Linked DNA regions of Tamandua tetradactyla. The protein of the gene in region 2 interacts with the protein of the main gene of each other region in a biochemical or structural test. Links are inferred from orthologs where the notes say so. Each region holds a gene or a part of one and is shown on either strand. Other genes may lie near its edges. The genes, in order: CCND1, CRYAB, SNCA and gamma-crystallin F.

Region 1 (7,352 bases), on a different chromosome or scaffold from region 2:
AGCCTTTCACTGATACCAGTGGGTTACAATAGGTTATTACGCCGGCAGCACAACTCTGCTTAGTACGTAAAAGAGCAATCCCTCCGGGCGGGGCGGGGACCGGCTGGGCCCGCAGGCGGGACCTGAGCGTCCGCGGCCCGCACGCATTAGGTTCTCCAGCGCTCGGAAGCCGCGGGTGCGCGCCTTCTCCAAGCCTTACGGTAGGCGCGGCGCGCAGGGCAACCACGTGGCTGGGGAACCGCGGCCGGGCGGGAATGCGCGGAATGCAAGGCGCGTCCCCGCTCGCTCCCAAGCGGGTCAGAGCGGCGCGCGCGCGCTCTCGCCTCCCGCGACACCCTGGCCTGGCCGCCCAGCGCTGGCACCCGACAGACTGAGCCCTGCGTGGGGCCCACGGCAGGTTTTGGGGGCGGAGCGCGGACCGACCGACCCCTCGGGCCCCGCGCGCCCAGGTCCCCCTAGTGGATCCCGGACCCCCGCCCCCGCTGCCAGACCCCGACGGCGCGGGCCGGTGGGAACCCAGGGGAGGGATGCAAGGCCTTAGCTTTGCAACTCCCCTGCCCCCGAGCTTGGGAAAAGAAAGCTCCCTCCACATCCCCGTCCGAGAAGAGTGTCGCAAGCCCCAGAAGCCGGAGGCGCCCCTTATAACGACCCCGGCCGCCCCTCCATCCATCTCAGGGGCCGAGGCAGAGGCTGAAAGCGCTCCGGGGCCAGATCTGGGGCAGGAGGAAGACGGCTGGAAGAGCGCGGGGTGCGGGGCGCGCGCGCCTTGGAGCCGACGTCGGGCTCGGCGCGGGTCCTCCGCCTGGAAAGCCCCGCTGCGGAGTCGCCGCGGCCGCAGGTTTCCGAGACCCCCGCGGGTCCCCGAGCGGCGCCCTGCGCCCCTCGCTTTAAGTGTGGGTGCACCGAGGCCGTTACCCCCACCCCACCAGATTTCTTTGCCTTGGTTGAAGGTGGTTTACTGGGCGCCCACTCCCCGCCCCTTTTGGCCAGGAAAGGCCCAGGGGCCTGAGTCGTGAGCCCCAGGGAGGGGGGCGTTCCTAGTTGGCTTTGGGGTTCTTATCGCTCAGGGTGCCGGGCGTGGAGGGAGGTAGAATTTTCTTTGACCCCCCCAAGAGTTTGCACCTTTTCCCTTGGGATCCCAAAGATGTCGTTGGGCCCCAGACCCCCAGTGTGACCTGCCCAGGTTCGCTTTAACTCGCGCACAACTCGCCCGCGGCCGTTAGAGTTGGGGGAGTGGGGGCGGGTACCCGAGTTGTCCGAGGGGGCGGGAGCTGGTGTGAGACTTAGGCGGAAACGTACCCCCGCAGCTCGAGGCAGTGAGGTGGGGGTGGGGTGCGGTTACCCGGTTCCCAGCGTACGGCTACCCTGTCCCGCAACGTTGAGACGCTCGGGGACCCGCGCCGCGTAGGCCTGGCCGAGCTGTTGCAGCACGTGGCCAACCGCGAGCACCCCAAAGCGAGCAGCTTTGGAGAAGGGGAGCCCGAGCGCCCCCGGAACCTCGCGGCCGGCACTCGGAAGCATTCTACAGCGCTACTTAAGGGCTTAACAATGGAAAACTCGCGGGGCGAGAGCCAAGTCCTTTCAAGTCGCCGCCAGGTATGCGGCTGCAGGTGACCCAACCTGGGTGCGCCCGCCCGCTAGCCCGCCTTCCCGATCCTCCCGGAGGAGGACGAGTGCCCCTCCCATGGGTTCATCACCCCACTCCCCAAAGCCCCCTGTTGAGTCGGTGCGCAGCCGCGGTGCGTCCCAGGGTCGGTCGGGTGGCGCGCCGGTTCCTGAATGAACGCGCTCCCTTCCCCCGCTGAATGGAGGTTCCCACAGCCAGGGACGGTGGCAAACACGTGTCTGCCGCGGAATTCGTCCTCTCGGGGCCGGCAATCCGCCCCAGCAGCAGTCAACGGCGTGGGGGACCCGGGGGCAAGGAGAGCGGGAGGCGACTTAAGTTACTTTTGGATTTTCTTTCAAACCAACCTGGTTACCCTCCCGTTTGGGCCACCGGACCTTTGTCTCCCAAATGGTCACCATGAAATAAGCATGGAGCACTTTAAACAAGTTCAGAGTTCGCAGTTCCTGCTTCGTGGTGGGTTTTAAAAAGACAGTGAGAAGTTGAAACTGCAGGAGAAAAGTTTTTGCAAAGTTACTTTTCTCTCTTCGGAAAAAAAGAAATGAAAATCAAAACGCGCCCTCGGCTCTCCTCTAAGCGATCGCACCCCCCCCAACTCCCACCCCCACCCCCCAGGACTCGGAGCTATTGGTTCCCTCGGGAGACAGGGGGTGCCGCTTAGCAGGGCTCACTGGGATGGAGGCTGGGCGCTTGGCGCTCCCCGCCGAGCCCCAAATTCCAGGGCCTCCCCCGCGTGTTCCTGGACGGCTCTTCACGCTTGCCCGCGGGGCTTGCACTTTTGCGCTGGTCCCTGAGCGGGGACCTCAACGAAGTTGCTGGTCGAGATCTGCCCGGTCCGCCTAGTAACAGCGCCGCGCCCCCATTGGCTCATGCTAATTCCCGTTTCCTCTGCCTTTCTCCCGGCTGGGTAGGGGGGAGCTCCCTGCTGCACCCGGAGCCCGTTTTGCCGGAGTGGGCGATCCTTTTTCTGCGCCGCTACCCGTCGCCGTCGCCGACCGGCCTCGCGCTTCGGGCCCGGCCGGGGCGCACGCGGGGGCTCCAGCCCGCGAGCCCCTGGAGACGGGCGCTGTCCGGCTATAGCGCGCGGCCCCATAAATCACCCGGGCAGCCGCCGGGTCCGGATTTTATGAATGAAAAAGCAGCCTCGCCGCCTTCGTGCGCGGGCCGTGGCTCTGCAGGCTCGGCGGTGCCCGGGGAGGGGGGACGGCGAAGGGTGCGCCGTGCTGAGTCCACCCTCCGCTTTGAAGGCGTGAGCCCGGGTAATTACCCTCCCAGGACCCGACCTAATAGTCACCCTAATTCCCGGATGGGGGGGGAGGGGCGCGGGAGAAATCTGCCCAGCAGGGTGGTATCTGATCTCGCCGCGTGCACCCCTTCATCCGTTTTTTTCTGAGCTTTTACTGCTAGGGATGCAGTGGTTTTACAGCACTCAGCTATATTCAGAGAGAAGTAAATGAACAATTTTCCTAATTTGAGGCACACTGTAAAAACTGTAAAAAAAAAATGAGATGGAGAAATTCTTTTTAAAGGCACCAAAGAGACGGTCTATACTTAATTAAAAGCACTTTGTGTATTTTATTGTGGATTCATCTTTCTTCAGTTTGAGATGATATGGAGGGCCCTATTGTTATAACCGTGGTTTGGTTAAAAAATCATCAATCAATGCACCCACTTTTTAAATTTACAGTTGTCCTGGATTTACCAGCCCCCTGCCGACCACCGCCTCAGGCTCACGAAGGCGGTCCCAGGGCAAATTCTAATGGTGAGGGGCTGTCCACTTGCCCTTCGAACGCAACTAGAAAGTTCCGGTGGTCTCCTGGGTGGAGAGGCGATTGATATTTCCAATTATTTAATTTCTTTTTCAATTAAAAAAAAAAAAGATGAGGCAGGACAGAGACCACTGCTTTGCAACCTTCCATTCAGAGGTACTGATCTCCCTGTTCAAATGCCGGAATTGGGGTAGGCAGGGGGCATTTGGAGACCCCGCGAGGATGGGCTTGTCAAGGTGGGAGAATGCCGCACATAACCCGGCCAGGAGGACACAGGATGAAGGAAATACTGGCCACCATCTTGAGCCGCTGCTGGAATTTTCGGGGATTTATTTTATTTATTTATTTTTTTTGCGTGAGCCCAGGCGAGGCTGAGATAGGTTCCTTTAACTTTTACCGAACCCTCTTAGGCATTTCTATAAGTGCCTCCCGGGGCGCCGGAAAGAAGCCTCAACCCGGGCTTGCGCCCTGCCCGGCGTCCTGGCATGGTAAAGAGTTCCTGAAATTTACACGTGTTAATGAAAATGAAAGAAAATGCAGAAGCGAGATTGCTCAGCCGTCCCTCCGCCCGTGGGTGCCCTCGTGGCGCTCTCCCGGCTCGGTAATAGGGTGTCGCCGAGCCCCAGACCCTCCTCCATGCGGTCTCCCCCGACTGCGTGTGGCCTGCCCGCCCTCCTAGTTGACCCCCTCTGCAGCGCCATCCCCACCCCCCCACCCCCAAATCCCAGGGACCCACATTAGCAGAACGGGCGCCCCCTGCACCCCTCTTGCCCGGCAGGGAGAAAGACGGCCGCGGGGTGATTTGCATTTCTATGAAAACCTGGCTTCGGGGGCAACTCCGCCGCGGGGCAGGCGCGGCGCCTCCGGGATGGCTTTTGGGTTCTAAGCCCGCGCCCCCTCCCCCTGCGCCCGCCCCCGCCCCCTCCCCCTCCCGCTCCCATTCTCTGCCGGGCTTTGATCTCTGCTTAACAACAGTAAACGTCACAGGGACTACAGGGGAGTTTTGTTCGAAATTGCAAAGTCCTGGAGCCTCCAGAGGGCTGTCGGCGCAGTAGCAGCAAGCAGCAGCGTCCGCCGCGCTCCTTGCGAGGGCCAGAAGCCGGCGAGGGAGCGCGGGGCAGGCAGGAGACGCAGCGCGCGCGCCGAGCCCGGAGCCCACCGCGTCCCAGGCCGCCGAGCAGAGCCGGCAGCATGGAACACCAGCTCCTGTGCTGCGAGGTAGAGGCCATCCGCCGGGCGTATCCCGATGCCAACCTCCTCACCGACCGAGTGCTGCAGGCCATGCTTAAGGCCGAGGAGACCTGCGCGCCCTCCGTGTCCTACTTCAAGTGCGTGCAGAAGGAGGTCCTGCCGTCGATGCGCAAGATCGTGGCCACCTGGATGCTGGAGGTGCGTGGCTGCTGCGAGGGGAGGCCCATTTGAGACTCCTCAGCAACGTGTTGCCCAGATTTCTTTGCCCCTCGTCTGTTCGCCCCACTGTCCCACCCCGGCTTTGAAGTTTGCCGGGGTGTTGTCAGCAGTCGGTAATTTCCAAATAAATCGACAGCGTGGGTAGTTTTTGAACGAGGAAGAAATGGGGGTGGGGGCGTTAGAAGTTCCCTTTCCTCCCGGAGGGGGGTCGGGCGAAGGGTGCCTTCCGGGGGAGTCAGTGCCCGGGGCACCCCAGTGAGCCCGAGGGTGCGGGTGGGCAGGCCGGGCGCCTTTTGTGCCCCCCTCCTGGGCTGCCACCGCGCAGCCCCAGCCTGCGCCCGACTTTTCCTGCGCCGCCTCTCTCGGCCGCTTCGGTCCCGAGCCACCGGCTCAGGGAAAAGGGGGTATAGATTTGATTTTTAAATTAATATCCATGTACACGTATGCAAGGGCCGCCCGTGCCAGTATTATGCGCCATCTTTGTTCTTTTATTGCAAAGCAAAAGTGTTTATTAATAATTGGGGGGAAGGTGGGGGCGGGGAGCGGCCGGCAAGGCGCTGGGGCCGCCGCGAGGGGCCGCGCGGTCCGCGGAAGGGGTGCGGGGACGGGTCGCTGGCAGCTTTGGGGGGGACCCCGCTCGGGAAGGGGGCCCCTTTTGTTCAGGCGGCGAGCCCCGGGGCGCCCCGCAAGGCCAGCCTGGGCCGGAGAGCACGCCGGGCTGCAAGGTCGCGTGGCCCCTAAGATGCCCGGTATTGACCCCCGTCTGTCTGGGTGTCGGCTTGGGGGTGCTGCCCAGAGCGAGCCGGGGACCTGGGGCACATTTTCAGGCCTCCTGGGGACGCCTAGGGGGCCGCTAGTATTTTTAAATAATTTTTGAAAGTGCGGTGTGCTGCCCTCGCGAGAGAGAAGCGGAGCCCGCGCCTAGGGGGAGGGGGGCCCCCGAGTTTGAATTCCTGGGGCTCTCTGTGGAGCCTGCGACGAGCTCCCGAAGCCTGGACTGGGTAAAGGACCGCCTGAGGGTCATTTTCAGGGGGGTTTTATGTGGCCAGTTTTTTTTTATATATTTTTAAATATTTTTTGAAAAGATGACGTCTGGGGAAATGCGGCGCGGCGGCCTGGGACGCCACCTTTGTGTCTCGCGGGCGCGGAGAGCACGGCGCCCAGCTCTACGGCCCAGCACCCCATTTAGTGGCGGACCCCAGGCCAGGCGCGCTCCCGGACCCCCACGCGGGCCGGGGTCCCCGGGGCCGGGCACACCGCACCACCGCGCGCGCCGCAGCCCTGCCCGCTCGTGTCCAGACTATGCCAGCCTCGCAGGGACTTTCCCTTTCAGTTTCGGGGTGGGTGTGTGGGTGCCCGGGGCACGCCGGGGAGGGGGCGCATCATGGGGAGCTCCTGCCACCCCCTGCCCCGGCTCTCTCGGCGCGCGGGAACCGGCCGGCCTGGGCGAGCGGGGTGGGGGTGCAGGGTGGCGGTAAAGGGGTCCTGCGCGTCCCGGCGGCGGCAATCACGGACTCTCCCCCACCCGCCACCCCGATACCCCGGCAGGTCTGCGAGGAGCAGAAGTGCGAGGAGGAGGTCTTCCCTTTGGCCATGAACTATCTGGATCGCTTCCTGTCGCTGGAGCCCGTGAAGAAGAGCCGCCTGCAGCTGCTGGGAGCCACCTGCATGTTCGTAGCTTCCAAAATGAAGGAGACCATCCCCCTGACGGCCGAGAAGCTGTGCATCTACACTGACAACTCCATCCGGCCAGACGAGCTGCTGGTACCCGTGGGGTCCCCCACCCACTCACCCACCCACAGCCACCCCGTGAACTGCAGGCGGCAGGGGTCCCCCGCCCGGCACTGACAGGCCGTATTCCCCGAAGGAGGGCAGCCACACTGTCCCGGAGCTGCGCTTGGAGGAGGAGGAGGAGGAGGAGGCGGTGGGGCCCCAGGCGCCCCGAGTCTTCGCCACCCCCACCCCCACCCCCACCCGCACCACACTTTCCCTGCGGCCCACTTTAGCGCCCCGCGGCGTGGCCGGTAAATGGGCGGCGCGCGCCCTCTTGCGGTGGCGGCGTGCGCTGGCCGCCCGCTAATGAATCAGGACTTTTCCTTCCAGATGGTGGGAGGTCTTTTTGTCTCCACTTGCAAATAGTTGGCTTAATGGGAATGCGAACAGGAGCCGTTTCACGCGGCACCTTCTCTGTTTTGACCTGAGCCTTGCCCCCACTTCCCAGATCCCTCGACACCCCACCCCCACCCCCAGGGCTGCCCCCCAAACCAGGGTGCTGGCTGGGACCCTCGGCTGACCGTTGCGCCCCTTTCTGCCTTGCTCCCCTCCACCCCGCGTGCCCAGCAAATGGAGCTGCTCCTGGTGAACAAGCTCAAGTGGAACCTGGCCGCGATGACCCCGCACGATTTCATTGAACACTTCCTCTCCAAAATGCCCGCGGCCGAGGAGAACAAACAGATCATTCGCAAACACGCCCAGACGTTCGTCGCTCTGTGTGCCACAGGTAGGGGCGGGCTAGCGCCCACCGTGTGCTCCCCGGAGGGTCCTCAGGC
Region 2 (7,728 bases):
CGGGTCTCCAGCATGGCAGGCAAGAAGTCTACCTGCTGAGCCACCATGGGCCACCCACTTCTGCCCTTTTTAATGAACATTTCTCCAAAGTTGATTTGCTTGATCTGAGAAGCAGTACTATGTAGTGGTTAAAAATCTGGACTCTACAGTCAGACAAGCTTGGGTTGGAATCTGGGTTCACTTAACAAGCCACGTGATCTTGGGCAAGTTATTTCTTTAAGCCTCAGCTTCTCAGCTATAAAATGAAGGGGTGGGATATGACCATTTACCTTTTAGAGTTGTTGTAAAGTGTCTGGCACTTAGTAAACTTTTAAATGCTGCTATTATTACTATTATTATGTTTTCTAAGCTCTCCTGAAAGGAGTGAACATAGTGCCTGTGTGCTGGAACCAGGAGGTGCCAGGCAGAGAAAGGTGACAGAGAACCAGCCCCCGGCTCTTTCTTGCTCATGCATGTAATGAAGGGGGTGGTATTTTCCTCAGTTTGGGACCTCTGTGTCCATCATCAGAGATGTTACCCTCCATTCTTAACCCCTACTCACCATCTTCCCCCACAGCAGATCTGGTTTCCCATGGTGCGCTGTCTCGGAAGGAGCCCAGCTGTTTTCCTACAATATAGAGGCTTTTGCATTTCCTGGTTCCCGGTCTAGCTTTCAGTGGCAGCTCCGGGGGTGGGGGGAGGGGTGGGCGGTGGGGGTGGAGGGTGTCAGATTTCAACCTAGCAGGTTGGACTTCGGAAGCCACCTGCTGGAAGGATTCCCAGGTGGCTCGGTTCCCAACCAAAGGGTGGGGCAACCCAAACCCAGCTTCAGGTGAGAGTTATCCCACTTTAGGGATTTGGAGCTTCTTTGGTGATGCCATAGACTTTGAGCATCAAGCTTCAAGGAAAAGAAACCTGGGATAGAAAGGGGCTCCGAGTTTCCTTTGGAAATACTTCTCTACTACATTTCACTGTCTTTAAATCTTACCTTAGGTTTCCCTAGCACCACCCAGGTTTAATTGAGTTTCTCTGTCAAGGTAATTGGTGCCGGTATCTTATTATTCCTGTCCAGAATCTGGGTTTGAATACGGGAGTGGCTTACCACCTTGAATTTAGGGAAATGGATTCCTTTTATATTCTTCCTGGCTGTCAGAATTAATGTGAGCATATTATCTAAACTTTCAAGGTTTAGGTTCCTAGGACTATGAAATGAAGAGCTGAACTCGTTATTTAATCCCTTTTTTGGTCTAAGATCATGTGATTCTGATGGGATTGGCCTCAGCACTTCTTAACTGCTCACTTCCCCATCCCCAGTATAGAACTACAGAATCTCCACCTAACCCCCAACCCAGCTTCTCCTTCAAAGGATCCAAAATTGAACTCCCTCCACACTTACCAGCAGTGAGGATGCCGTCATGCAAATTCCTCTGCAGAAAACATGGACTCTAGAATTTTTGAAACGCCCAAGGCTTATTTCCAGTGCTCGCACCCCCATCTTTGGTATCTTCTTTAGACGCCCGGTTATTTGTGTGCCCCTTATGGATGATGAGGACTCAGCATTACACTCTACACAGGGCATAGTCTGAACTCAATTCCTATCCATATTCTCCTCTAAAAGTGACAACCTTATAGGATACTAGTGAAGATTAAATGAGATGATGTGTATAAAGCTCTAGATCTCAGGAAATCTTAGGTATTATTATTACTTTTTGTTCTCAGCTTATTGTCAGATGGAAAGCATCTTATTTTATTATCTTGTGCCTGGATCACTAGCCTCTTATCTCCCCTATTGTGTACTCTATTGTGTACTCTGCCATTAACTGTATTCTTTTCATCCTGTTGCCACCTAGGTCAGAAGCCATTAATGGTTTCTACAGGAAAAAGTTCAAACTTCTTAGCCTGGCACTCAGAAGCCCTTCTCAATCTGTTTCCTTTCCAGCCACATCCTCTGTAATATAAAAGAAAGCATCTAAGGTATTTTAGATGACCAGAAACTCCAAAGGAGCTAATACTATGTTGTGGTAGTCAAAACATCTGATACACCTTAACCAGCATGAATAGAAGTCTAGAGATACTAAAAAAGTGCATTGATTATTCCACTGAATTCTGTATCAGTCAGTCCATGACTGGAATAATTTTAGATCTAGATGCTGAATTTCAAGTTGAATTTCAAGTCATCAAAAGACAGTTTGTCAGGGAAGGCTGTCTTTGGCAGTAACTGATATGGAATTTGCCATTAGATAGGATTCTAGGTATATTTATCTGGGAAAAGGGAAACATTAGGAGGACATTAAAGATGGTTATCTTTAAATATCTGAAGAACTTTCAAATAAAAGAAGGATAGTATTTATATTCTCGAAATAACCGGAACAAATGGGCAGAAACTACTGAAATTCAACAGAGGGAAGAATTTGTAATAGATATGTCCCCCCAAATAAAGTGGGTCGCTTTATAAAGGTCTACATTCTCTATCACTCAAAATGTCCCAGCAGAAGCTGACTGAAAACTGAAAAGAATTCAAATGGACTAAATCGGGTTTTCAAAATTTTCCCAGCTAAGGATTCTTTTAAATAAGGAACATGTAAACACCCCAATTATAAGATCAATGCAAAACTGTTCTGGTTGAAGTTTGACTAAGGACCTTTTTTAAAATTGTTTTTCTTCTCAACTAGATGTTAAGATTCCTGAGAATAGACGATAAAAGACCGTATTTTAAAATAATTCATATTTGCAACGTATAACTCACATAGTGTATTTATTACTTGGGGTAATGTAAATATTTGTTGAATGAATGAATTAAAAAAAAGAATCAATAAATAGTTATTTCTCTGAGGCAAACCTTTAATCAATCATTGAATTTCTCAAGTGAGAAGTATATCTGTAAGTATATTCATGAACGCATGAATGGATCTCAAGAGTTCTGTGAACCTATTCAAATTGTAGGTCAAATTTTGAGTATCTGTATTTTTCTGGGAAAAGGGTATGTATTTACAATTTTTGTCAGGTTTTCAAAAGGGTCTGTAACCCAGAGGTTAAGAACCACCACTTTAATGGAAGAATTTCAGGTATCCACCAGAGTTTGGTAAAGGAAAGTTCTTCTAGACACTCCCCAAATCATATCCATGTATGCTCTCTTCATTACAGAGAATTACTGAGGGGTTAGACCCTTAGGATTTCCTGAATACCCAATACCCTTAGTTGTAGGACTCCAAGGAGATATTCCCTGGGAGTCACCACTATCACAGTAATGGCTCTAGATTCCCTACATTTTGACTTGGATTGAATGGGATGATGCAGTGTTGCCTCTCTTTTGAAATGTTCCAAGTTTGGGGACCAAGGCTTTCTCTTATGGGCCTCCTCTGTGCAAAAAGTGGGAAGACCTTAGGATTTGGTGAAATGGTAGAGGCTGTGTGTCTGTGCCCCTGTGTATGTACTGGCAGTCCCTCGGAATCAGAAGCCATTTTTAGTAGACAGATCTTAGTATGGAAAAACAAAGTATTCATCCCAGGGCTTTCCGCAACTCTCTCTAGCCAGTCACTGTTTTCCTAACCCCTGCCCAAAAAGGGCCAGACAGTCTGGAGACCCCTAGTTTTTGTGTCTCTAATCACCAGCTCAGACAGTGCCCTCTGGGCTGTTTGGATGGCATATCCTTTTTCGGTCCCAGGATCACAATCTCTTTTGTTGCATTGTGAGAAAACTGTGGCTAGGAATTTGATCTAGAGCCAGTGCCAGCTTGCGGCTATGATCTCAGCATCCAAGTGTGAGCTCAGGGTGCTGTTGTATTGGGTACATCTATCTGAAGAGCTTTATGTCTAGTTAGCTATAACTTCCTCCCTCCCTGCCCATCCCATCCTTCAGGCTACACAATAGGGAGCAGCACAGACAAGGCCCTGAGATTTGGGTTTATTCAGCTCCACCCAGATCTAAGCCAAAGGCTATGACATGTCCCAAGGGACCACACCATACATTGTGGACAGTGCACCAATCCCTTCCCCCAAGGATGCTGCTACCTCTGGGGTTGTGGGCAGCTGTTCCTATCACCACAGGAGGTAGAAAGGGATCTGCTAGGTGCTGAGTCTGCAGCAATCAGGACTCCACTCTGGCCGCCTCCTCCTCGTCCTCTGGATCAGGAGGCGCAGGGAGCAGGGAGATGTAGACCTCATTGACCTCCGTGTCCAAATGTCTGCCACCCCGAGGTGCCTCCAGGTTAAGGATGCCATCGTGGGATAGAGCAGCCCGGACCCGCCAGGGGTCGACATCAGCAGGCAGGACATAGGTGCGGCAGAACTCTCGTGACACGAAGCCGTGGCGGTCCAGGCGCTGGGGGTGCCGGGCAGACACCTCCAGAAGGTTGTCCACAGTCCTCACGGTCACCTCATCTGGGGTAAAGTGGCTCACATCCAGAAATGCCTGGAACTTGCCCTCACTGAGCCTAAGCTCAGAGGCCCCTGCCCTGCTGCCCTCCCCAGCTCGGCTGGCCCGTGGCCGGACATAATAGCCATGGTAGAGGGTGGGCGTCAGGATCTCTTCTGGCAGGAGGCCTGAGGGGCACAGAGAGAGAAGAGAAGAGTCAGAATGAGGGAGGAGAGGTGGGGATGGGGATGGGGGGTGAATGAGAGGAGACTAGGAGATGAGGAGGGACTGGAGGACCAGAAGAGGAGTTAAATAGGGAGAGGAAGGGAGAGGGACACAGTGAGTAGGTGGAGGAAGAGGAAGTAGCCAGAGAGAGGGGACTGACAAAATAAATGAGATAGGGGTGGGGAGGGCAAACCAAACTAGGACACGGTGGATAGAAGGGGGACAAAGAGAAGATATCAGCGTTGCAGGTATCATGTCTTTTCTGAGGTCAGGAGGAAGGAGAAAGAGCCCTACTGGGGGTGGGGGGAGAGCGGGTAGAGCAGTCTGGGATGGAAGATGGCTCGCCCCAAGAGTTCAGTTAAGCCCTTAGTGGGGTGGAGGCCAGTAAAGTTGGGAGGTCTGCCCAGAATTTCAGTAGGTGGGGGTGGGAGGCAAGGGGGCGGCGTCTGTGCCATACCTTCCCCGAAGCGCTGCTCACTCAGGCGGCTCGGGTTGGCAAATTCGTACTCGGCGGTGGCCGGGTGGGCATGTGGCACCGAGCGACCCGACATGGCTGCAGATGCGTTGGCGGCGCTGGTCGGAGGTGCAGCCCCTCCAGCTGTCTGAAGAGCCAAGGCTCGGTCGGAGGTGGGGGCGGGGTCTACAACACCCAAAATAGTGCCGAGCCTCTGAGGGAGGGACGGGAAGGGGGGCCCTGAGTGGGAGCAACGAGTGTGTGACTAGTGCCTCCCGGACCCCCAGTCCCCTCCCCCCCGCACACCCTTTAGCTGTCGCAGGGTGCCTGAGAGGACAGCTGGGGGTCCTGGCTCAGGAGTGGGCTGGGGGAGGGGAGGACAAGTTGCTGCGTAGCTGAGACCCTCGCCAACAGTCTGCACGTTTTCCACACTACCCATTCTCCTCCCCAGTCGCAGGCACGGTGCGCCGTACTTCAGACAGCACCCCTAGATTTAATGTTTTACGAGGCTTGTAGGTTGAAAGATGCAAGAAACTTTTCTACCTTTTCCGTAGTGTCAGTGCGGGGCTGGGTGTGGGTGTCTTCCTCCCCAGATTAGTATTAGGGTCTTCTCCCGAAACCAGGGCAACCCAGGGCACCATGCAGATGCCTGGCACGGGCATGTTGGTGATCACTGCTCTTCTCCAGGGACCCACAAAGAGTTAATGTCCCTGGGGCTCAGCCTAGGAAGATTCCAGTGCCTGCCCAGGCCCAAGATAGTTGCTGGCCCAATGCCTCTGGCATGTGAGACTGGAGAGGAAAGGAGAGAGGAGGGGCACACCACTGCCTGCCTGACATTCTTGACACTGTCCCAGCTCCAGAGAACAGAATGAGGGGTGGGGAGTGGGGGTGCTGCTGTTAGGTGTGGACAGGAAAGCCAGTGAAACAAGACCAGGACAAGTCACTGGCCAGCTCAGACCTGTTTGTGTTTCTCTTTTCTTAGCTCAGTGAGTATTGGTTATGTGTCACACTGCCAAATCCCCATCACAAGTCTCCATGAACGGGTGGCGAGCTAGGATAATAAAACCCCTGACATCACCATTCCAGAAGCTTCACAAGACTGTGTATATAAAGGGGCTGGCCGTAGCTGAGGCTGAAGGAACGGACCAGCCAGCTGAGTCTTCACACTCAACCTAGTCACCATGGACATCGCCATCCACCATCCCTGGATCCGACGCCCCTTTTTTCCTTTCCACTCCCCCAGCCGCCTCTTCGACCAGTTCTTCGGAGAGCACCTGTTGGAATCAGATCTCTTTCCAACTTCTACTTCTCTGAGCCCCTTCTACCTTCGGCCACCCTCATTTCTGCGGGCACCCAGCTGGATTGATACTGGGCTCTCAGAGGTGAGTCCCCTCTCCCTGCCAGAACAGGAGAGTTCTTCCTAGAATATTCTGGAAACTTCTCCACTTTCCTCTTCCTCCTCTGTGCTTAAACTGGATTATATTTATATCCTAAGTATCCAATAGTAAAGAAAGATGAGGCTACTAACATCTCCCTCCCCCAGTTACCTGTTTCTATATGATGTTCTTCTGCATCCTATTTATTAGTGTACAATCTTTCACAATCTTTATGCATGATAAAAATCATCCTTTGTCCCCTAACTTCTAAGCAGGATGTCTCTTCTCTGGCTTGGTTCATAATGATGTGAAAGGAGAGAGCTGCCTTCAGACTCCTTTGCTGACCTCTTCTAATACCTCATTGTCCTGACTAGGAGAGAGTCCTACCTCGTCTTGAGCTTTTCATGCCCACTGGGTGGAGCTGGAGACAACAGCTATTATTTTCTTCCATTTTATTCTCTCTTCTGTGGTTTTCCTGACTTCTCAAGGGCTGAGGCAGGGCATTGGCCCAGGTCCAAGCCTTATGAGGAAGAGGCCCCCCACTTGTCCTAGGAGGGTCAGAGAAGGATGAACAGATAGGGTTGACAAAAGCTGCCACAGATAATACCTTGGTTTAAAAATAATCAAGTGTGAGTGAACAGGAGCTGAGTGGGCAAGGGCTTTGGAAGGACAAGCAAGACCAGCAGAACATTCCAGATTGAGTGGGTGGGAAACTTGGCAGATTTATGAACAAGAAAAAGGGGCCTTTGTCTCACAAACAAATGACAAGGCCAGGCATTGGGGTCAGAGAGACAGCTGAAACCATGCAGGCCATTCTTGTGACTGATTGTGTTCCCCTGGGTGGCTCTGTCTTCTCCCTTGTCCTGGTAAATAAAGTTTGAGCCTGATGACCAAGTGACCAAGTCGTATGCTTTGAGTACCACTGTGGTGACTCCTTAAGCCAGAAAGCCATGTTTATTTATTAAAAAAGGGATTTTTAGCAGAAAAGAGGCGGTTAAAATAGCCGGACAGAAAGCAATTCTTTAGAATGATGAGACTGCACCAGTCTTTCTACCATCTTTTCCATTATCCCCTCCCCACTTTGCTATTTCTAGATGCGCCTGGAGAAGGACAGGTTCTCTGTCAACCTGGATGTGAAGCACTTCTCCCCAGAGGAACTCAAAGTCAAGGTTCTGGGAGATGTGATTGAGGTGCATGGCAAACATGAAGAGCGCCAGGTATGTAGCTTGTTTTCTCTTCTGCTCATTCATTCAGTGCCTACTATATGCCAGGCAATGCCATCAACCTCTGAGGCTGGCAACATTCCAATCCGAAGCCGTAAGGGTCTAGACCAGGGTCACA
Region 3 (7,100 bases), on a different chromosome or scaffold from region 2:
TTGGAATGGTTTCTGCTGGGGATCTCAACTCTGCCACATGAGAGCTGGGTGATCTCAGCCTCAAAGTTACATAATAAAACTTAACTTAGTCCTCTGTTATGATTGAATGATACAGTGTGTTAGTCTTTTGCAAAGCAAAAAGTACCATATGAAGGCATGGAATCATCTTATTTATAAAAATGCACACACAAAAAACCACCCCAAAATAATTCTACCAGTGGTCTGATATAGGCCCTAAAATACTTATCATTTTAGTCACTCCTTGACTTAATATATCAGTTCTCAGTATGTGTCCCTGATAAACTATAAATATGTCATATGAAATCATATATAAAATAAGTATCATAATAATTTATCATGGTAGGTAGCTATGTTGAGTCACAGTGGAAAATGTTTATTGTTGGCAGGGGAGGTCCCACAAATGTGAAATTGACTATGAATGGTCTTGCATGCTTTTGGTGAGGGGTGTCTTCTTGCAGGACTTGGGAAAGCAGAGAACAGAAAGGGGGCACCAGTTTATTGTGTTACTAAGATTGGCAATTGCTGACAGGGTAATTTTTCTATTCTACCATTCTACATGCATATCCACATGCTGCATTTAAGGTTCACAGAGCTTAGTTGAAAATAAGATTTAGGATTTATACTTCAGAAAAGAAAAGACACTTTTCAAAACGATTCTTTACAAGAGGGTGATTGATTTTAATCTAGATTTTCTATCCCTTTATTACTTGATCTGTTTTTTTCTAAGTGAGAGAGAATAAGGCTAAGTCAAACAATGTTCTGGTCAATTACAGTCATGATTTAACTCTGGCATAAGAAGATAGAGCCAGTGTGTTGCAAGTGAGCATCCACTAAGACCCCTCAGAATCATCACAAAGCTAATGATCTGGCCTTAAAGGATTAATTTGGGGTGTTCTGATTCACCCATCCTTCTCAGCTCTCCTCTGGAGCTCTATGTCTGGCATCTGACAACTTTCAGGGCTGTCTGAATTCATCTGCTTGTGTCTTAATGGAAGATACTATCTCCTTCTCCATCTCCTCCCCACCTCACCTTCAGCAACTTAAATATGATATTCCCACACTTTTATTATTCTTTCCTTCCCCATTTTATTCTTATGTTTTATTACAGAGATCCATTCTCATATCTGATTCAAATTGGTATTTGCTACAATAGTACATTGTTTACCTTTGATCTTAGACATCCATGACCAGTAATGACCAAGGGAAAAAGGTTGAAGCTATCACATTCTAAGTCCAATAAGTTGTATACAAGGAAGGAAGGAAGGAAGGAAACAAGGAAGGAAGGAAATTTATTTTTAATTAAAGTCAATCCTAACAGAAATCTGAAATTGAGAATTGGAAGAAACAGTGAAAGAGTATCAAACACCACAATGAGATGTGGGTTACCACTACATTCCATTAAGGTGGCTAAAGGGAAAAAGATTTATAACCCAAATGTTGGGGACCATGTATAGACCAGAACTCTCACACATTTCTGTATGAATGTAAAATGGTACAACTACTTTTGAAAATGACCTGGCAGTTTCTTAAACATACATTTACTGTAGCGATTCCATTCTTATGTATTTACTGAAGATAAATGAAAGCAGGTGTCTGTAGAAAGGCTTGTAAAGAAGCTTCATAGCAACTTTATTCATAATTTCTTCAAACTGGAAACAACCTGAGAGTCCATGAACAGAAGGATGGATTAAAATACTTGGTAATATTAATGCAATAGTGCTTTGCAAAGCATAAATTATCATATAGAGGTGTGGAATCATGCTGTTATGAGACGCACGAAAAGTAACAGCTGCCCCCAAATAACTCTCCCCTTCATCTGCCATGGAGCCTATAAAAATCAACCAGTTCCAGTCATTCCTTTAATTTAAAGCATTAGGTCTCAAGAAGGTCTCTGTTAAAATGTAAACGTGTCATCTCAAATAATTGATGAAATCATTATCTTAATAGTCTCTCAAGAAAAGTCACTGTGAAAATCACTTTTTATTGGCAGTCATAAGGGAAACAATAAAAGGCAAATAAAAGAAACAAATTTCTGAATGAAGTTTGAATGAACCTCACATACATTATGCTGAGGGAAAGATGATAGATACAAAAAAATTATCTTGTATAACCTTTTATGAAATTCTAGACTATACACAACTAAGAAGGGGCAAAGACAACTTTCTGCATCTTCAAAATGGTGTGGATTACACTAATGCAGAGATTTTTCAAAACTGGTTTAAAGGAACACTTAAGGTCTGAGCATTCACTGTATGTAAATTATACTTCAACTTAAAGAAGATCATCAAATGTCATTGTTATTTTTAATAGTTCTTATATTTTATGGAAACATGCTGAAAGATTTACAGGTAAAAAAATTTATATGTAATGCCTGGGATTTGCTAAAAATTGTAAATATCAGGACAGAATGGGTCTGAATTCCACTGAAAACTGTGGGAGTTGTGTAATAGTCTCTACCTGGGGATACAGCTGAACATTTTCCATAATAAAAAAAGGTGAAAAAAAAGGGATTATCTGTGTTCACCTCCTCATTATATAAGAGAGAAAACTAGAAACAGAAGGAGGCAAAACCACCCTTAAGTTCTCAAAGCCTGGTTACAAACTATCTCCCAGGTGCAACCTTCTTTCTCTGTATCCAGGAAATACAAAATATATGTAACTGTTTTTCTTGAAAGGCTGCTTTTAAAAACGGCACACCAATAATAAGCCCTTACGTATTTATGACCTCATACTTACTTTCTTCTCTTCTTTTTTCTACCGAACACGCGTGATTATATATACATATATATATATATAATATTCACACATATCGTTTGCTTTCTGTCCTTTGAGATTTCAAATGATTGTTTCTTGATTGCATTTCGAGAACCCAAACGAGGCAAGGATCAGAGAAATCTTTGTTTCTATAAAAAAAAAAACAGCAAAAACAAACAAAATAATTAAAAACAAAAACAAAACCATATAGCGAAGACTTGTTTTTCCCTTCCAGGGCTGAAATCATCCTCCCAATCCCAGCAAAGGAAAGCAAAGACATTCTGCTGAGGGAGGAGCTTAGTCTACTGTGATCCAAGAACAGCTCCCCCCTCCCACCCCCAGCCCCACCCCCGCCCCAGCTCTAGAGAGGTGAACATGTATTAAGCGATGCAAACATTGTCTTGCGGCGCGCTCGCGTTTGTGTGTGTGTGCACGGGTACGTGTCAGCTCCGACAGCAACAAGGACCAGAAGTCAGAAAGGTGTGTGGTGCATGAAGTCTCATCTTCAGAAGGGACCGAAGAGGAAATTGGATATGATGGTCCAGCAGGGCACACCAGGCAGCTTTTGTTCCCTCCATCCAGATACTTGGGTCTGGAAAGTAAATCCCACTTCAAAAGCGAAAAGCTTGTGATCACTGGTTTTCGACGGCTGGGGAATATTTATTCCTTGTGCCAGTGATGGGAAATTCAGCGTCTGGCAGCCTCTGATTGGTGGAAAAGAAAATGGTGATAGTGGGGTGGGAAGACGATTTGACAAGCTTCCTCCTACCTCAACCTGTAAGTCTTCCTTAGTCTCATCTCCGCTTGAGGGTCCTTTCAGGCTCCTCTGGGGTTGGGAGCAAACGAATATCTGAAGCTATTTGAACAAAAGCAACCGCTGGTCAAACTTAAGCTCTCCGAGGGAAACGTGCTCTCGCAGGTGCAGATATAAGCATCTTTCCTAGGCTGCCTCTCTCCCCAAGAGATTGACTCGGACTTTGGTGTTCTATCCCTTAGGCCCCCGGCTCCCGAGGTTGGATCTGGCGAGTGGGTCCCCAAGAGGAATCTTACAGAAAGGCAGAGACAGGGGAAAAGGGCGAATGGAAAAGAGGGAGAGACATTAGCCAGAGGCCAACCGCTTCGGAGCCTCCCAGTAGTTCCGGTGACCCTGTACTTGGGGTGAATCGCACTACACCCTACCTTTCCGCCTTGCAGGACCAGGCGGGCCGCTTCCAGTTGGAAGGATAACTCCACCTTTCCCCAACCCCCCAACGCACACACAAAATCGAGCCAAGTGCACGAGGCAGGGAAAGCAGCGAGCTCCGGGAGAGGGGCGGGGAGAGGCGCTGACAAATCAGCTGTGGGGGCGGTGAGCCGAGGAGAAAGGGGAGGAAGAAGAGGAGGAGGACCACGCGCCAGAGAAGGGGGTTGGAGAAAGGGGGCGAAGGAGCAAGCGCGGCGACGTAGCAGAGTCAGGTATGTGCTAGCTTTGGAACGGTCCCGGGGGACCGAGCCCCGCCTTTAGCATCCTTCTGGCTCTCTCCCGCCTTCCCTTCCGACCCTCTGCTGTTTGTTTCTGAGCCTCTTGTGCTTGGAACCGGGAGTGGCAATTTGACTACAGGTTCGCGAGTTCGCCTCCCACGCCCCCAGCCTCTTGTCGCTGGGTTGTGCTGACTGCAGCCTACTCTGGGGACCATCCCTCTCCTGGTGCCGCTTGCGCCCTTCCTGTGCGCTCCGTTTCCTCTCTCTTTCCATTTAAATAATATGTGGGAATTGTTTAGCTAGAATAATAATAATAATAAAAATTTAAAAGCAGGGGTTGGAATCAGAGTTCAGGAGAAGTGTAGGGGCTCAGGTAAGTTCCTGTAGCTCTAAACGGGCTGGGAGCTTTAGGAATCCTGGAGAAGACCTGGTGGGAAAGGGGTGACGTTACCGTGGACGCCTGGGACCGGGCTTGGTGCCAAGGTGAGCACCGGCTGTGTCAAGTCTCTGGACCGTGGATGGGTTCTTATTCCTTTGGTGAGCTTGAGGAGAGTAAGTTGACCTGGCTTTCCACATGATTTCCATATTCACCCTTTCTTCCCAAAGGCTGAGAGGTCCGGTCGCTTCCTCGCGGTACACTTCTCCTTTGGGAACCGCGAGGATGCTTGTTGGAGCGTGTGCACCCAACTTTTATTTCTCTTACTTTAAATCCCTCAGTCTGCCCTCTGGGTTTCTCTTGTAAAATAAGCAAGCTGTTTTGGGCGAATAATTAAATGGAAGTGCCGGGAGGGCAAATCAACAGGTGGTAAGGGATTAACAGGTGCGTGTATTGGCCTTCCCAGCCCCAGCCCGCCGGCGGGTTCGCGCTGAGAACGGTCTCTGCCGTGGCGCTCCTGGGTCGTGTGCCCGCGGGTGTGAACGGCGCCTGCTCTGGGCTGATAGCTGACGGTGGGGGTGTATGGTCGGGTAGATTAGAGCGAGCTGTTGGCCTGAGGGTCAACCACACCCAAGTGAGTAGTTCCCTTGCCTTTGCTCCCCAGGATCAATTTGGCAGTCCGCTTCCGACATTCATTTTAAGGATTCCCTCAGGCGCCCAGCTTCCAGCTCCGTTTCTTTTCCTGTGGTCTTCTAAAAGTGCTTGTAACTTAGTCACGGTTTTTTTGAACCCTGGGAAGTTGAAAGAGGGTTATAGCCTTTCATGCAACTCCACTTCGGAAAAGCTGTAAGGGCAGCTCAGATGATTCATCCTAATCCATATTTAGACCCAACTAAGCGAGATGGATAAGGGATGCTAAATATTTAAAGCAAAAGCTAAAGGGCGGTCTTGTCCGATGGTTGAAATGAGTGCACACTTGAAAGTATCTCACACTGTGGGGGAGTTCTGCTAGTTTTTAAGTAGTTTTACCTTTGGAGGTTTGAATTTTGTTTTACCAGGATGTTCTCATTCGAGGTGTATTTTGTTTCCTCTAGTGTGGTGTAAAGGAATTCGTTAGCCATGGATGTATTCATGAAAGGACTTTCAAAGGCCAAGGAGGGAGTGGTGGCTGCTGCTGAAAAAACCAAACAGGGTGTGGCAGAGGCAGCAGGAAAGACCAAAGAGGGGGTTCTCTATGTAGGTAGGTAAGCTCTCAATGCCATTTTAGTATTTATTCATGACCGATGGATTAGGATGATTGATACTGTAAATGCTGAAAGGCTGGTATGCTTTGCTTGATTCATGTTTGCGTCATCACTTGTGAAAAGGATGAACTTAGTCAGGTATGAGTGGGTAGGTAAATGTGTATTTCAGCTACTAGTACAAAATGGAGCTAATCTTTTGCTTTTCCTGATTATTCAACTTCACAATAATATTGAAGGTTTTTTGTTTCTTTTCTAAGAAATGAATGTTTTTGTGAATAAGTGATTATATTTCAGATGACAGTTTTTAAAACAGCATCTTTAAAAAATCAAGAATATCCTTAAGAAACAAAATGATTTATTTTTGACTTATCCTCATGATTAATCTTCCTTCAATTTTTGTATTATTTTGATATTAAAATATGACTTTACTATGGCCTCAGATAGGTGAAAAAGAGACCTACTATCACCTCAAAATAGAAAGGACAGATTAGTCTCTCATGAAGTTTCCCTTTGTAACCATTTGGTAGACTGGAAATTAAGAACCTAAGAAAATACTTGAGTGTTATTATTAATATCTCTGAAACATAAATATATTTTATTTCTCAATTGACATATAATAATAAGGTTGATCCTTATCACCTCTGCTTGTTCCTAATTCCCACAGTGGAGTTTTCACCCAGACCAGAACCCTCATTTATATATAACTAGGAGTGTATTAGGTTGAGTCTTATTTTATAAACCACTTGAAGTTCTTTTGGGAAAGAGTGATATACGAGGCATTCACACACTCACACTCACACACACACACACACACACACACACACACTGCCCATTCTTCCTCTCCTCTTAACACTCTGCTCCTGTGAACTTTTCCACATTCTTCAGTGGCAGTTAGGACAGCTTTAGCCACAGGATGAGCCATAAAGTAGAGGATGAATTTACTGAAATTTATATCAGATTTTTTTTTCTTATTGTTGCTCATAGACTCCTTTCTATGAAAAATTACTTTTTATTCCTCTACTTTAAGATATATTTTCAGGAAATCATTGCAATAAGGAGTGTTACATGAGAAAAAACCTTGAATGAGTTTAAGTGTTTTGTGAAGTGTGAACTACATAACTTTAGGTGAAATTTGCAATACTGAATAAATGACACACAGATTATAGGTACCTTTACATTTGCCATAAATTGCCCAACTTGTGCAAGTGCACTGTAGTAATTTTGGCTTGAGTTACTTTATAACT
Region 4 (7,332 bases), on a different chromosome or scaffold from region 2:
ACCCATTGTGGATACTTGGAAAAGTTCTGATTTATAAGGTCTCAAATATTCAACAATACTAAAACCTAAGTAACAAATACTTATTATAAAGTATTTATTTCATACGTGGTACTATTATAAAGGTTTTACATATATTCACTCATTTAATTCATATCACAACCCGATAAAGTGGAAACTATTAGCCCTGTTTTTACAAATTCGGAAACAGAAGCAGAAGGGCCAGCAACCTACAGCTGGTGAGTGGATTTGGACTCAGGCACTAGGAACCTAGAACCTGTGGTAACTCCTACCCCATAATGCCCTTTCCAGGGATAAGTGTGAGGAAACCCATCTTATTTCTACATTTATTTTCGCTAAGTCCGCCAAGAAGCCTGAACAGAAAAGAGGACTGCATATTGCATGAAACACACAGGAAATACTTTATTAGCTTCCCGATAGAGAAAGAGGTAGAGTAAAAATATTTCAATAGAAATCCACGACCCTCCTCAGAGAGCCCACCCTGGCAGTCACGGCCCCCCAGTCGTGGTACCGCCTGTAGTTCCCAGGGCTCAGCAAGTACTGCCGTCCCCGGTAACTGGGCATCTCGTAGAGGACCCAGGAGCCTTCCAGCACGTTGAAGGAGTGGAGCTCACTGAAGTGGAAGCGGTCCTGGAGAGAGGAGCAGTCCTCGGTGAGCTCCAGCACCTCGCCTCTGTAGTCCTCTCTCTCATAGACACGGAGCCTGTGGGAGCTCGTCTGTGGGTTCCGCAAAGGCAAATGAGGAAACGTCAGAAAACCCGATCTTATTTTAGCAACAGATCACACACCTTCCTAGGAAATTAGCATTTCTTTATGTTTGCTATAGCAAAGGTGAATGAAAGACTTAAAAGAAAGAGACCATCAACACCAGGGCTGCTATGCATAGTTGCGCAGGTTGTACACTGCACAATTCACGAGGGATCATTAACATGATATGAATGGTGCACCCTAGAGTTTCTGATGCCACAACCTGCATAGACGCTATGTGCTGGCCCTGTTCAGTATTATTTTATTATTATTATTATTTTTTGCATGGGCAGGCTCTGGGAATCAAACCTGGGTCTCTGGCATGGCAGGTGAGAACTCTGCCACTGAGCCACAATTGCCCCCAGTATTATTTTTAAATAATGATTTTTATGTATTTTGTTTTGCTCTTTCCATCAAAAATACATGGCGACCTAGAGCTCAACTTGGATGATATGAAATTATTTAAGTATAAAAATAAAAAGACAAATGGATCCCCCGAAAAAAGCATTTTGAATCTCAGTTACATTAGAGGAAGCCAGGGGGAGAGGAAGTTGAATTGCTTTCCACAAAGTGAGGCCACAGATTGGGGACAATTCAGGAAGAGAGTCTGCCCCAGGCAATCCCTTAATCCCTTCCTTTATTCTTTAAACCTGCCACTCTCAAATCCTGAAAAGCAAGAATGTTTCAGTTTCAGCTCAAATTTATGCTCCAGCAAATCTGTTTTAGGTAATAAGCAGGAAAAAAAAAGGCAATATAATATAAATATACTTGTGTAATTTTAAAAAAATAAGCAAGATCAGGAAGGAGGCCTACACAAGACGAAGAAAAACAGAAAGCTAAACTGTTTGTCCTGAACAAATTCTCTCTCTTTTTTTGACCATTTGTTTTTTCTTCGTCTTTTTGTTCTTTCGTAGTAGGTACTCATGGCTCAATCTCTTCCTTGTTATACTATAAAATCCTTCTTTAGGAAAGGTTCTCACAAGCGATTCATTCTGAGGGATAAAAAAACCTGCAAATAAGGGATCGCACATTTGAGCAGTGTTCCACGGTTTACAAAGAAGTCTCATGAACATTATCTAATTTGATCTTCACAACAGTCGAGCATATGCAAAACAACCATTATAAGTCTTATTATTTTTTTTTATGAGTAAACGCATTACTAGAGTGTACAATCTGTAATTACAAGAGCCAGGACTTGACAGTTGGAAACCGGGGTTTTTAAGCTCCTATGGCCAGTCTGGGTCCTATTAACTATTAAACCCTCTGAGTGGTTTCCAATCGTCACAAATGCAGTGCATTTTCCATAGGACGTTTTCAGAATCCATTTGAGAATCTCTAAGAGGGAACATCAGGTTGATGGGGCTTTATTTGGGTAGCAGGAGCTTTGTGGGAGTTACTGGAATCACATTGTTAGTTGCTCGTTTTGTCTAATCAAAAGGTAGGCGGAGGACCTTCAGGCTTATAACAAAGTTACTACTTAGGGGAGGGGGTGGCTCCCCAGGTGCCAGGAACTCTCCTCTCCTCCCCCTCTCCTCTCCTCCCCCTCACCACCCTCTCTCTATATTAGCTACTCTTATCCGCCCCACTTTACAGCTGAGGAAAGTGAGACAAAGCCTAAATAATCAACTTCAGGCCACTGGATGGTAAGGAGTTAATCTCCTGTTTATTAATCCGCCCCCCGTAGACACTCTGAGCTAATATACCCTGCACTGTTTATTCCCAGTAGAAGTCAATTTAATTTTAGCAAAGTAAATATTTTTTTCAGTGGAGGAGAAACCCTGGAGATGTTAATAAAGGACAAGAGAATACAGTAGGAGCCAGAAAAAGATCTACCATCCTGCCGCTTGTGGTATGACTAACACATCTGGAGAGCTGGCGTGACTCGACAGCACAGAAAGACCCGGGTGGAGCTGGACTCACGTGGGGGATGAGGCGGCAGGAGCGGATGGAGTCGCTGAGGCCCATCCACTGTTGGTAGTCGGGGTACTCGCCGCGGCGCAGGAAGTACTGGCAGCCCGAGAAGTTGGGGAGCTCGTAGAGCATCCAGCAGCCGCTGTCCACTCGGATGGAGTTGCAGCGGCTGAAGCAGGGCTGCAGGTTGGAGTGGTCGCTGCTGCACTCGTAGGCGCGGCCCTGGAAGCCCCGGTCCTCGTAGAAGGTGATCTGCAAGGACAAGGGGAGGAGAGGACTCAGAGGCCTGGCTCCCAGGCCCTGCTGCTCCCGGGGCCCCCACGCTGGCCTCACCTTGCCCATGGCTGGTTGAGCGGACGATGGAGTTCGGTGTGACACGGATCCCCGTGCGCGGGGTTATGTAGCAAGGGCGCCTGCTGCGTTGGCAAGAAAAACACAAAAGGGGCCTGCGGGAGTGAGAACGGGATTTTTCTCTTTCTCTCCTTTTTTTTCTTTCTTTCTATTTAATGACTGTGGGGGTTATATTGTACGTGTCCTCTTAGACTTTCCAGAGCTTTCGAATTGATGACCCTGGTTAAAACCTTCTCTTGGTGCTGTTCAGGCCTTTTTGGGAAGCTTATTTGGGAAATTGGGATTTAACAAAGGCGCTTAACCAAGTTGATGATTGTAATTAAATATTTTACTTAGCTTTTTAAATTTCAAAATAATGTTTTTAGAATAACTCACATTTGGCAAGTCTGAGGTCAAAATGGGCTGAAGCATAAGGCATTTCAATTACAAAACTTTTGGGGGTATGTGTCAAAATTTAGAACATTGGAATGAACTTGCCTTTTCGTTTAATGTAGGATGAGATTTTCTCTTTCGAGAGAACCTCTCGATGACCCTACCTGCATATCAGCAAGCTGCTTCCTCAGTAACACCTGCAGAAGGAAGAGAAGGTGGTTGGATCTGGAGGAAGCCCTGTTTATTCTGACATCAGGAGATTGAGGGGCCTGGCCTTAGATACTTCCACCGCACAGCCAATGATATCCTCAACTTTGGAATATATGAAGTGACTCATTCACAATTCTTACTGACACTTGTAACTTTCTGCTTAATATTTTTGCTAAATGCTAAGTTTAGTTGCTTTGGCTACTGAAAGATTCAAGTAAAAGTGTGAATATAACAAAATTCCAAATCCCACAATCGTGTAAAACTTCTACCTTTTCTCCCTTCACGATCTCTGGGATAAGCCTCGATTGCTAAGGCTCCACCCAGCTCCAGGGACTGGAACTTCTTTTCTCCCCCAAAGATCCTCCCAGCAGCTCTTGGTGCTTTTTCCACTCCTTTTAGTAGCAGGCTTTCTCAACTATGGTAAGATTTTGAAATTTTGGGTCAAGAAATTCTCTGTTGGGTTGTCCTGTGCACCATAGGCTGTTTAGCAGCATCCTTGGTCTCTGTTCCACTACATAACGTTAGAGCACCCCCACCCCCACCCAGTAGTGACAATCAAAAATGTCTCCAGACATTGCCATATGTCCCCTGGAGAGTGAAGAAGAAATGTCCTTCATTAAAAACTGCTTTAAAAGAAGCTAACCCTCAACTAGATACAACCTTGAGACTCCCTATCTCATTCTTTGGTTTGGATTCCTGCTACACAAACCTAATAACTTAAAAATAGCTTTCTCTGAACAAATTTCATCTGATCCATAAAAGTTTAATAAGCCTCAGTCACAACTCTTGCTTGTAAGAACTCTAACTTCTATAGAAATTTTGGAAACTATAGAGAAGTAAAAAAGAAAAATAATTAAACCATAGTCTCATATAAAAACAAACCATTCAGAAATAAGTGTGTGTGTGTATGTATACACATGCGCATACAGAGAGAATGAGCAAGAGAGAAAATGCAGCTTTGAATTATCCGATATATTTCATTCAATTCCTGGTTGGTTGTTTGAAATTGCTTCATAGTAAAAATCTGCAGGCTACTTGGTATAGACCCAGAAGGGCTGAAAGCAGGGATATGAACAGACATTCGCTCAATGATGTTCATAGCGACATTATGCACAATTGCCCAAAGATGGAAACAATCCAACTGTCTATCAACAGATGAATGGATAAACAAAAGTTGGTATATACATATGCTGGAATATTCAGCTATAAGAAAGAATGAAATTCTGAAACGTGAAAATATAGATGAACCTTGAGGACATTATGCCAGACACAAAAGGACAAATTTTGTATGATCTCACTAATATGAACTAATTATAATAGGTAAACTCATAGACATAAAATCTAGAATATAGAATGAGGCTAGAGATTGGGGAATGGTTGCTTAATATGTGCAGAAATTTTAACTAGATCGAACTTAATGTTTGGAAATGGATAGAGGTGATGATAGCATGTTATTGTGAGTATAATTAACAGTAATGAATTGTGGGTGAATGTAGTGGAAAGGGAAGAGTCATGTATGTCACCAGAAGGAAAGCTGGAGGTTAAAACATGGGAATGTATAACACAGTATATCCTGTGGTGGACAATGACTGTAATTAACTGTACAAATATAAAAATTTCTCTCATCAACTAAAACAAATGTACAACACTATTACGAGGAGTTAATAATACAGGGGTGTATGAGGAAAATGTATCTATTGCAAACTATGTGCAATAGTTAACGGTAATATTCTTTCAACAGTGACAGACGTACCACATCAATACTAGGGGTCAGTAGTATAAGAGGATAAGAGGTAAGGGATGTTTTGGGTTTCCTTTTTATTCTTATTTCTTCTCTGGAGTAATGAAAATGTTCTAAAATTGATTATGGTGATGTGTGCACAACTATGTGACGATACTGTGAGCCATTTATTGTATACTTTGGATGGATTGTATAGTGTGTGAATGTACCTTAATAAAATTGCATCAAAGAATCTGTAAGGTAGAACTGTCATTACTTTAACAAGAATCTCCCTAATTCCATAATGGAAAATCAGTGATTTGGGAGCGATGAGTCCTGGATTCTACTGCCACCTCTATTATTGACTGTATGACATTAGAATTGAACCTCAGGTTTACCTCCATAAAATGAGTTATCTGCACTACATGATCTCCAGGCCTAAAACATGTTATGGTTTCACTGTTCAATTTTTTTTTCCTCCATTTTTGCATCAGGGAACCCTTTAAGTCTCCATTTAAAGTTCTGACAGTCTTCCTAGAAAAATGCATATATAGTGTATAGCAACCATAAATGTATTGAGCTTCAAATAACATAACATTCAATTATAGTGAATTAAACAGTAATGGGTTTCTTTTACTCCTGGTACTCTGAAATTCTTTTTCTTTTCTTTTTTTTTTTTTACATGGGTAGGCACCGGAAGTCGAACCCGGGTCCTCGGGCTTGGCAGGCAAGCATTCTTACCTGCTGAGCCACCGTGGCCTACCCGGTTTTTTTTCTATCTTTTTTCTTTTTCTTTGGTACTCTGAAATTCTCATGGTCTTTCCCTCATATTGGTCACCTCCTGGTTGCAAGATGGCTGAAATAATCAGCAATTGTGGAATCAGGGGCAGCTGTTTCCTCTTCCTCAGGAAGGTAAAGCTTTTCCAGAATTATCCCTTGCCCCTCCCTGACCAGCATTCTTACATTTATGTTTCAGTGGCTAGAAGAATGTTGCATGGTCACCTCAGTGGCCAAGGATTTGACTAGAAATCTGTGAACTCAACTTTTGCATATAATTTTAGGAGATTTGCAAATATTCTGAAGCCCATCATGGTGCCCAGGCTTAGAATCCCTTATAAAAAGTGGGTCCTGTCACCTGAGACTCGAAGTCAGAGCACTGAAGCTATGAAAATCAGCATTACCCCATTCAGCAACTGTTTAAAAAGCTGAAAAAGTGATCAGACTTCATCTAGAGATATGAATGAAGCTGATCTGGATAGGACTAAGGTAAATTTGAATACTGGGTAAAGGATGATATGGCCCATATTTTCATACTTCACCCTCTGGGTGAGATAAAAGGAAAAGATGTTTATTTGGTGCAAAATTTATATTTTGGGTAACACATTATCTAATTTAACTTGTATGGTCAGTTTACTTGAACACCATAAAGTATATGGAATCTTGAATAGGGAGTGAGATCTTTTTGGTGTGTACAGGTTAGTATGATGTCCCAGAATATCCCAGAGTAATTTGCACAGAAAATAAACATGTATGTGCAAAGTCCGCTTGGGGGACTGGGAAGAAAGGAAGATATATTCAACTTCCCCATCTGGGAAATTCCTGATATTCTCACAAGCAGTGGGGACAACCAATTCAACAAGCTGAACCCTTGGTCTTGGGGCTGATCCCTATGAAGCTTATTCCTGCAAAGCTTATTCTTACTGATAATTATGCCTAGGATCACCTCCCAGGGAACCTCTTTTGTTGCTCAGATGTGGCTTCACTCTCTGCCCTCCCCTCTAACTGGGACATGACTCCCAGGGGTGTAAATCTCCCTGGCAACATGGGACATGACTCCTGGGGATGAGCTGGGACCCAGCATCAAGGGAATAAGAAAGCCTTCTTGATCAAAAGGGGGAAGAGAGAAATGAGACACAATAAAGTTTCAATAGCTGAGAGATTTCAAACAGAATAACCTGGAGGTGAGAATATCAGGAATACATGGATATCCCTTTCTAGTTCAT

What was found.
Region 1: of the proteins of CRYAB (region 2) and CCND1, one has a biochemical effect on the other in vitro, tested with the Homo sapiens proteins (2 studies listed by BioGRID, with this or other methods). The link is inferred for Tamandua tetradactyla from reciprocal best matches to the Homo sapiens genes CRYAB and CCND1.
Region 3: the proteins of CRYAB (region 2) and SNCA form a complex in vitro, tested with the Homo sapiens proteins (4 studies listed by BioGRID, with this or other methods). The link is inferred for Tamandua tetradactyla from reciprocal best matches to the Homo sapiens genes CRYAB and SNCA.
Region 4: the proteins of CRYAB (region 2) and gamma-crystallin F form a complex in vitro, tested with the Homo sapiens proteins (3 studies listed by BioGRID). The link is inferred for Tamandua tetradactyla from reciprocal best matches to the Homo sapiens genes CRYAB and CRYGD.

Annotation. Positions count from the first base shown.
Region 1 is NC_135335.1:4,930,182-4,937,533, reverse strand, and holds the start of CCND1 (G1/S-specific cyclin-D1), read left to right. Parts: upstream 1-4,350; 5' UTR 4,351-4,584; coding exon 4,585-4,782; intron 4,783-6,351; coding exon 6,352-6,567; intron 6,568-7,143; coding exon 7,144-7,303; intron 7,304-7,352. UniProt on the Homo sapiens protein: Regulatory component of the cyclin D1-CDK4 (DC) complex that phosphorylates and inhibits members of the retinoblastoma (RB) protein family including RB1 and regulates the cell-cycle during G(1)/S transition.
Region 2 is NC_135334.1:29,334,022-29,341,749, forward strand, and holds the start of CRYAB (alpha-crystallin B chain), read left to right. Parts: upstream 1-4,726; 5' UTR 4,727-4,805; intron 4,806-5,014; coding exon of another isoform or gene 5,015-5,108; exon of another isoform or gene 5,109-5,225; intron 5,226-5,554; exon of another isoform or gene 5,555-5,811; intron 5,812-5,925; exon of another isoform or gene 5,926-5,993; 5' UTR 5,994-6,192; coding exon 6,193-6,393; intron 6,394-7,481; coding exon 7,482-7,604; intron 7,605-7,728. Other genes in the region: C8H11orf52 (uncharacterized protein C11orf52 homolog), read right to left, coding at 542-630; HSPB2 (heat shock protein beta-2), read right to left, coding at 4,066-4,520, 5,015-5,108. UniProt on the Homo sapiens protein: May contribute to the transparency and refractive index of the lens. Has chaperone-like activity, preventing aggregation of various proteins under a wide range of stress conditions.
Region 3 is NC_135350.1:36,700,788-36,707,887, forward strand, and holds the start of SNCA (alpha-synuclein), read left to right. Parts: upstream 1-4,099; 5' UTR 4,100-4,230; intron 4,231-5,310; exon of another isoform or gene 5,311-5,458; intron 5,459-5,706; 5' UTR 5,707-5,731; coding exon 5,732-5,852; intron 5,853-7,100. UniProt on the Homo sapiens protein: Neuronal protein that plays several roles in synaptic activity such as regulation of synaptic vesicle trafficking and subsequent neurotransmitter release.
Region 4 is NC_135329.1:183,592,211-183,599,542, forward strand, and holds gamma-crystallin F, read right to left. Parts: upstream 3,019-7,332; coding exon 3,010-3,018; intron 2,929-3,009; coding exon 2,686-2,928; intron 736-2,685; coding exon 463-735; downstream 1-462. UniProt on the Homo sapiens protein: Crystallins are the dominant structural components of the vertebrate eye lens.